Nothobranchius furzeri: one gene and its partner. The protein of the gene in region 1 interacts with the protein of each later gene in a pairwise test. Links are inferred from orthologs where the notes say so. Each region holds a gene or a part of one and is shown on either strand. Other genes may lie near its edges. The genes, in order: xrcc4 and aplf.

Region 1 (3,827 bases):
CCACCCCAGCTTAATGTTCATGCTCAAAATGATTATTTTACCATTTAAGTCAATTATTTTGTTTTCAACCAATGCCAGTTGAGGTCAAGTATTTTTAAAAACCTAAAACTACATAAATTAAAGTGAACATTTTCAAAAATTTAAAGCACCCAAAGAACACTGGAGCATAAACCTGTAGGTGTGTTGTAATAAAGACCGACCGACAGACACATAAATAGCTGTCAGATGTTAAACAATACATCTGTTTATATATTTTTAATGTAAAGAAAATATCAGCTTAGCTGGATTATTAGATTTCCAGTTTGAGACAAAAACGTCTCGGTCATCTGCTCTATGTAAAAGATTTCATCAGTGATTATTTTATCTTGAATAAATAACTAAACTAGAAAATGTGATCTAGAATAAAAGACTGACACTGAAAAAACAACAATAGATTCTCAACAGATATTATTAATAGCCATATAGAGCCTTTCAACTTTAATCTGCTTCACTAGCTGGATTTATTTAACTGGAAACTGTGAACGCGTTCAAATATATATACCCAACTCCTACTTTACAAAACACTTTAAGAAACATTTGATCTTACCAAAATATCAGCAGGTTAGAGCTTTACAAGAATCTGTCCAGTAAAATCAAATCCCCCTCAATAATTTCAGTAAACTCGCATTTGCTGCTTGCTGGCAACATTCAGTTATCTGATAAAGTGAAATCATTAGTGAACACCTACCACTGGTGACACTAAATGGTTAACCAGTTGATCATATGAGTGTTCTGGAGAACAGCAAAGTGACTATCGTACCTCTGGAAGGTAGATCAGGAACTGGTGTTGGCTGCACGTCCTCTGGCTCTTCATCAGTGCTGCCTCCATACTCATCCTCCTCCACCTCACCACCCTGACCTGCTGTTTGGTCTGACTTTGCAGAATCTCTGCTCCTCTGTCCATCAGAAGTCCTGTGGAGGAGCCACATTAGAATGATACAAAGCTTTTTAGGTCACCGCCAAACTTAAAAAGAAACTCAGTGACTCAGAAAATGTCATAAATACAGAATCAAAGACATTTTTTGAGCATCTGAAGCTCTGAAGAAAATGTGAGGCACCTCAGCATGCTGAGTTTGTGCACCGATGGTAAACTTGTAAAGATGGTTAATGTGTAAAACGTACTTTGCTTCCTGCAGGTTTGTGACGGTTTCCTGCAAACTGCGGATCTTTGCTTTCTTCTCATTGAGGACCAGAACAAACCGAGAGTACAGCTCTGCCTCAAGGGCCTCTTTACCCTCAGAGTAGCCCTTCAGCCTGGAAGAGGAGACACGCAGGCGCACACACACACACACGCACACACACACACACGCACACACACACACACTGATTCTTATCCGGATATAATCTGACTATATTTGTGATCTCACATTTTAACCTGATAATTAAGAGGCTCACAGAGGACAGATAAGAGCTGGCCTCCAATAGCTGTTTCCCTCACGTGACATCTGCAGCTGTGTGAAACTCAAATAGGGGGTCGGAGTAAGTCATTCCGCTCTAAGAGTCGTTTTGTTCGCGACCGACATCACCAATTCGTAGCCTTTCAGTGTTTCTGAGCAATGGTACTGTCTGGCCTATATGTCACCTTGAAGCAGCGGGATTTGTTTGTTTGCTGTGCACGTGTGTGTGTGCGTATGTGTTTACTGTGCAGTGATGCTCTGGTGTTCTCGTCTCAGCCTCTGGTTCTCCTCTGTCAGTTTGTGGTTGCGCTGCTGCAGAGTGTTTCCTCGCTGCAGACTGTGGATCAGCACCTGCCTTACTGCCTCCACTGGCTCCGAGACGGCCTTCAGATGGACACAGCCCAGTCTGAACTACAGCAGACACAAATAAACCTTTATTTATTGAGTACGCCTGAGCCCGTAAAACAACGGTGTCTGGATCTGCACATCTACATTCATCCATAAAAAATAAAGCATCTCAAATGTATTCATTTCATGGATTTGGCTGATTGATTTGTTTTCTAGTTTCTTTGGTACATTATCAGCAGTAGCCATGGTATATGGGTCACTCTTTCTTTGAAAATGCTTGCTGGATTTAGACAAGTTTTATAAATTGCTTCACACTGCTTTTCACTACAACCCCATGTTTCTAAAGGATGGGAAGCAGTTTCAAACGTAAACTAAACCAGAATTAAATGATCAAATCTCATCAACCCATTATGATTGAATAAGTACTAATTACTGTTATATTTCATTATTCCTTTAATTCCTACTGTATAAAAAATATTTTGTATGTTATTTGTGCTGTAAAACATTTAATCACTACAGTAAAGTTAAAAAGGAGCCTAAGTCTCCTCCCTTTCCAGTCGGCTCTTGGGTCACCGGAAGAACAAAAAAATGAATGCAAGTCAACGGGGCTAAAAGAGCTATTTTCTAATCCACTTTGCCTTAGACCCTGGATCGCACATATGTTGTACTGCTATTTAAATGAAAAGTAATGTCGGGTGTTTCGACCACACCTGTCACATACTTTGAGATTTATCAGCTTGTAAAAGTTCATAATTAGCATGGCTACAAATCAGACATCAGCACGTTGCATATGTGACCTCAGAATCTCCTCTCCACTAGCGTAGCTGCTACTTACCACATGGCCATATTTATGGTGGTTCTTTCCTCCTGAAGGAAGGATTTGAAGTTTTCTGAACTTACAGCCATTTTCTCTCTGTTTTTATCCGTGCCTGGTTCGATGATGTCACTTTGGTGATTCACATTTGTAGTCCTGGGCTTATTTTCACACAAAATCTAAAATGGTGTTTCTCTCCGTTCGAAAATAAGCGAGTTCTTGGCATCAGACTGAGTCTTTAAAGTTCACGGACATCATATGTGAAATCCATGGTACATAACAAGCAGAAATAGAAAATAACTTGCATTCATTTTTTCTTTCTTCCAGGGACCCATGGTCCAGAAGTAGATGGGTGTGACTTAGGCTCCCTATCGGCGTCCACAATGCTACACCATTTTACCCTTACACCGTTTATAACAGACGTCTTTTCAAAATTTCAGTGTTTATATATAATAATAAGTATAAAGGAATGAATCAATTAAATAAATTGGACTTTGTCAGGAATGTAATCGTTCAAACATACCGGTATTATTACAACGCAACTTAATAGAAACGTGGTCCTCCAAAGAAGAGGCTGAGGGTGTTGACGAAAAAATGACAACCTGAGGAGGAATGTGTGCATGAGTGAAGCTCATATATCTTCATGTTGATGCCTCATGGTGTGGGTGAATGTCTGCAGGCATGTATTATTGGGGAAGTTGTGACTGAACAGGGAGAGCGGTTGTACACGTGGGCAAGATACTAAACTCAGAAAGTTACCATCTGAACAGCAGCTCACTGCTCCTCAGGGATGGGTCAGAGAGGAATTTCCCCAGTAAATGAAGACAATTTCAAAGATTACCTAAATTTGCAGGCATACTCGTTTTGATCAGAGTGGGATCATCTGATAGGAATACCTTTAATCTCAACTAAAGTAAAGCCTTTTTCTTGATTATTCCTTGATCTGATTCTTACTCAGGGGAGTTAAAAAAAACATCTTTCATTATGTATGATGTATTCTCACCTTCTGTATTTCTTCTGAGTGTTTCCTACTTGCCAGCTATTACTTCACTGCCTTATGGAAATGTTAAGTAAATAAACTCAGGCTGAAATGCTCCTTGAAGTGGAAACACCTCTTCTGAGTTGCTGAAGCCCCTCCAGTTATTGCCTCACCACATTCACCCAGTCTGAGGCTGTAACTCTGCTGTCAGCCGTCACCCGAGCGCTCATATCAGGGATCTAGATTGCTA
Region 2 (4,501 bases), about 7.8 Mb from region 1:
CGTCTCTGCATCAAACGGTACCATTTTCCTCCCCAGCAGCTCGTCGGCTGAGCTCACGCTGCTGTATCGGCCTCTCAGCCAGTCTCTCTTCGCACAGCTCCGGGTGTAGTTTCTCACCAGAGTTACCTGAGACAAGAGGCGGGACAGAAAACACCTGGTAAGTGTTGGTACCGTGATCTGGGTCTGGGTCTACAGCGGCAACACTGAACAGGAACCTCTCAGCTGATCAGCAGCAGAGATGTTTAGTTTGGATATGAGGGAGGGCGAGGAGACCCACCTTCCAGGAGAAGCCGTCCCCCCGGTCTTTGTCCACCTCCCTCTGACAGACCGCCCGCACCAGCAGACACTGCCGCCTCCACAGCTGCTCGCTCTGCTCGATGATGTCCCGCCACAGTCTGCAGGTCCGTGAGGCGCTGCAGAGGCTCTCTGCATCCAGCTCTCCGAAGATCCTCACGCTCATCTCCATCGGCAATGCTTCAGCAAAGTTCTGAGAGTCGTCAAAGGCTTTCGGGGAGGCTCTTCGTCCACAGAGCAGGGACACGGACGACCTCCTGGCAGGGTCATGCTGCATATTACTGCAATAGTCCAGAGCAGCAGCAGCAGCAGCAGCAGCAGCAGCAGCAGCAGCAGCAACGCACGAGAAGTTCTCTCTGAAACAAAACCAGAAACAAGAATCAGGGTCAGCACAAGTTCAGAACCCATTAGGAATAACAGTCCCAGTCCCACCAGGACATTTAATCAGCTGTTTTCCAATTCAATAACAAATAAAACAGGTTTAGTTTCTGACATTTTAAATTTATGTTTGATGAATTTTACCAAATTAATAAAATTTTATTTAAACAGTTTTCAGTTATTTTTATGTTTTCACATAAAATTTAATGTTTTTTCTTCCCCTCTAATTAAATCCTCTCTTTTGTCTATATCTTCTTACAGTTTTGACTAAAAATCCTGAATTAAGACAAAACTTAAGTTTAGTTTCGGTTCCAGGAACTTTGAGGAAGCGGTTCCATTTTCCTGAGTGGACCTCAGTCCAGTCCTTCTCCTAGAACCGGAACATCCTCACCAGAAGCAGAATACTTCATTCATACACGCACTACTTGAGGCTGCATGGTGACGCAGTGGTTAGCACTGTTGCCTCACAGCACAAAGGTCACAGGGTCGAAACTCGGCTGCAGCCTTTCTGCGTGGAGTTGCGTGTTCTCCCCATGCATGCGTGGGTTTCCTCCGGGTACACACATCACAACACGCCCTACAGGTTATAAATTGTAAGACGCTTTGGATAAAACACAACATACTACTTACTTCTACACGTGATAATAATCTGAATCTGACCCAGACTGCCAAATCATTCTTGAACAGAACACCGATTTGAGTCATTAGTCTGTGATAAATAACCAAAAATCACCGCTAAACACGAACTCAACACAGAACCGGAGCTCGTTGCATGGAGCAGGCCAGTAAACACACTTGAGTTCGGGTTTGAGAGCGGAACCAACCTCCAGCCTCCGCCCCGGTTATTCAAACAGCTCGGTTCTGAACGAGTCGGTTTCAGGCTGAAATTGGAGATGGCGGTAAAAAGGTTTTCACTGGTTTAATCAGAGGCTCTTACCTGCGGCAGATGTCTGACAGCTGGTGTTGCGACAATCCGTGCTCCCCGTCGTAATGCTACTTTGGGGAAATGCGCATGCGCCTATTGCGTCACAGGCTGTTTACAAGTCGAGACCGCTACCTGTGGAAGTTTGCGTTTAATCTCGTCACTTATCTAGTTACTTTCAACTCTTCGAAGGTCACAGTAAGTATTTCTTTAAGTTGTTTTGTTAAATTACTGTTTGCTGTATGTTTACCTGACAGTTTGCTTGTAAATGCCTTCTAAAATGTCGTTATTATACTGTAAACAAGAAATTTCTCCCATTGTTTACAGTCATTCTGAAAGAGTCCCAAATTAACATCCAAAAGTTTTATATTCTACTGTTAGCAGAGTCATCAATCGTGCTGATGGAGGAAATACAGCCTCATCACTGCTTAGCTTCTCAATCAGGGAACACCGGTTTCTTCTGTCACGTCATCTCTTATGCGTCACTGACAGCGATCTCATTGGTTGAATTAAACCACATGACATTAGTTAACAAAAGATAACCCATAAGTATTTACAATATAAACATACAAAGATAAAGGTATACATACAGAGATAAAACAAATGAGAACACAAACATAATAATGTAATATAAATCAATATTAAATCATGATCTTTTGCAGATCTCAGTTCTTAACATATACATATAATAAATTTATCATAGTTGCATAATAATCTCCAAAATTATACATTCAAACAAATAACTGACTGTTGGGGGAAAAGCATGTTTGTTCTATGTAGATTAATTTTTCTAATAAAGGAAATACAAATCTCCATTTTTATGAATACTTTCGACATGGGTGAAAGTTGGTAAATCGTCATTGTTCTGAGAATATTCAAATATTTTAGCAACTAAGGGGTTAATTTTTACGAAATGACTAAACTGCTTCTTACACTATCCACCTTTTTTTCATAAAATAAATTAACAGTAGCTACCGATTTTCAGTAAACCTGGACAGACTGAATCAGCTGTTGAAATGCGCGTTGGTAGGAAAATTCGACGAGGAAGCACGGATGTTTTTTTAACAGGTTTTATTAACTTGTTGTCGATACATTCAGAAAATACATTCAATATATCCATGGATCACATTTTACAGTTGTTTACAACTGCAATAACACACATGCAACATTAGGAAACCATTAAACAAACAAACAAGAAATAAACAAAGAACTGACGAAAACATATATAACTTAAAAACATAACACTTAGGGGTCTGCTGTGTCTAAGTTGAAATGATGAAATAAGTTGATGATCTTTGTTAGTTTGTTGTTCTTCTTTTTTAATTTTTCAATGCTGTTCCAATATTTCATAAGGTCTGTAATTCTTAAATTATAGATGGAGGGGATACTGTTCTGAAAAATTTTTATGTAAATAATATTTTGCTAAAATAATGATTAAGTTAATTATGTATTTTTCATTGGATGATAAATGAGGGTTAGTAACAATAAGAAGTATTTCATACATAGAAATATTTTTTGTAAGTTTTTGGAAATGTATCTTTGTAAATGGAACCAAAACAAAGTTACATGAAAGCAATCAACAAAAACATGGATAGAAGGTCCCAACGGTCGTTCAGCAGGACCGAGCGCAATTTGTGGCAGCGGCAGCGCTTGTGGCACTTACAGTGGCAGCTCTGATACTTCCGGGTGGTGCCACGGCTTTTAGTGGCACCCGCGGCTTTTAGTGGCACTAGCCACGCCCCCTACCACTGCTGCCATTACACTTCCGGGTGGTGCCACGACTTTTAGGAGTAAGGTCTAGCTGCGGACATTGCCCAGGAAAAACGTTTTTCCTGGGCAATGTCCGCAGCTAGGTATTATTGGATTATTGACTTTTAGTGGCACTAGCCACGACCCCTACCACGGCTTTTAGTGGCACTAGCCACGCCCCCTACCACTGCTGCCATTACACTTCCGACTTTTAGTGGCACTAGCCACGCCCCCTACCACGACTTTTAGTGGCACTAGCCACGCCTCCTACCACTGCTGCCACGGTACCTGCGGCTGTAGTAGTGACCTCAGTAATTGCAGCACTTATGCATCATCGGCCTCATCATGCCAACGTTTTTATTTTTTACTTTATTAACAAAATCAAAACAAACAAGGCTGTCACCGAAAATATTTGAAATATTTCAAGCGGTTTACAAATGCGTTTCCCAGTCACTTCATGCATATACAGTGTAATGCAATCAGAAGCGTTAATGCATTTATTTTTTCCATCATTTTTGTTGCTCCCCCAGACGAATCCGTGACAGATCTAGTGGAAGATCCACAGACACTTCCGGGTGGAAGACCGGCGGTGGGTCACCGGCCTCCGGTACAGAGTCAGGAAAAGCAGGGGAGCACCAGAGCCATATGGAGAGCGCCAGAGCAGTTCTCAATTTCTGAAATAATTTATGACAACTGCTACCAATGTGGATTGTGGAATAAAAAGAGATAAACTGTTAGTTTTCTCAATATTGTCATTGCAATCGGGACAGATACCGCCATCTGCCGGCTTAAAATGGTTATTGCAGTACATTTTAAACTTTTTTAAAACTATTTCAATCTTCGTTTTCACATACATTCAGTTTACAATGTAACCTACATTCAACGTACTGAAGAATAAAGCAAATAAAAATGACCTCAGTTGAGGAAAATAAAAATTACATTTAGAATTTGCAACAATTACCACATGACACTACACCATAAAATAAATCATGATGCAAAATAATAATAAATTAAAAATGAAATATCATCAACAAACAAAAAATGTTCAGAGGTTAATATTTCAGCATTATATTTCAAACATGTATGATTAATTGGACTGTAATTTAAAGAACAAGAAACTCAGACATTGTTTCGTACTACTCATAAATCCATATGCAC

Evidence for each region.
Region 2: the proteins of xrcc4 (region 1) and aplf interact in binary tests that used the Homo sapiens proteins (3 or more experiments, as listed by UniProt). The link is inferred for Nothobranchius furzeri from reciprocal best matches to the Homo sapiens genes XRCC4 and APLF.

What each region holds. Positions count from the first base shown.
Region 1 is NC_091746.1:37,559,148-37,562,974, forward strand, and holds part of xrcc4 (DNA repair protein XRCC4), read right to left. Parts: intron 1,848-3,827; coding exon 1,681-1,847; intron 1,294-1,680; coding exon 1,162-1,293; intron 952-1,161; coding exon 800-951; intron 1-799.
Region 2 is NC_091746.1:29,719,228-29,723,728, forward strand, and holds the start of aplf (aprataxin and PNK-like factor), read left to right. Parts: upstream 1-1,675; 5' UTR 1,676-1,792; intron 1,793-4,501. Other genes in the region: fbxo48 (F-box only protein 48), read right to left, coding at 1-126, 278-571. UniProt on the Homo sapiens protein: Histone chaperone involved in single-strand and double-strand DNA break repair.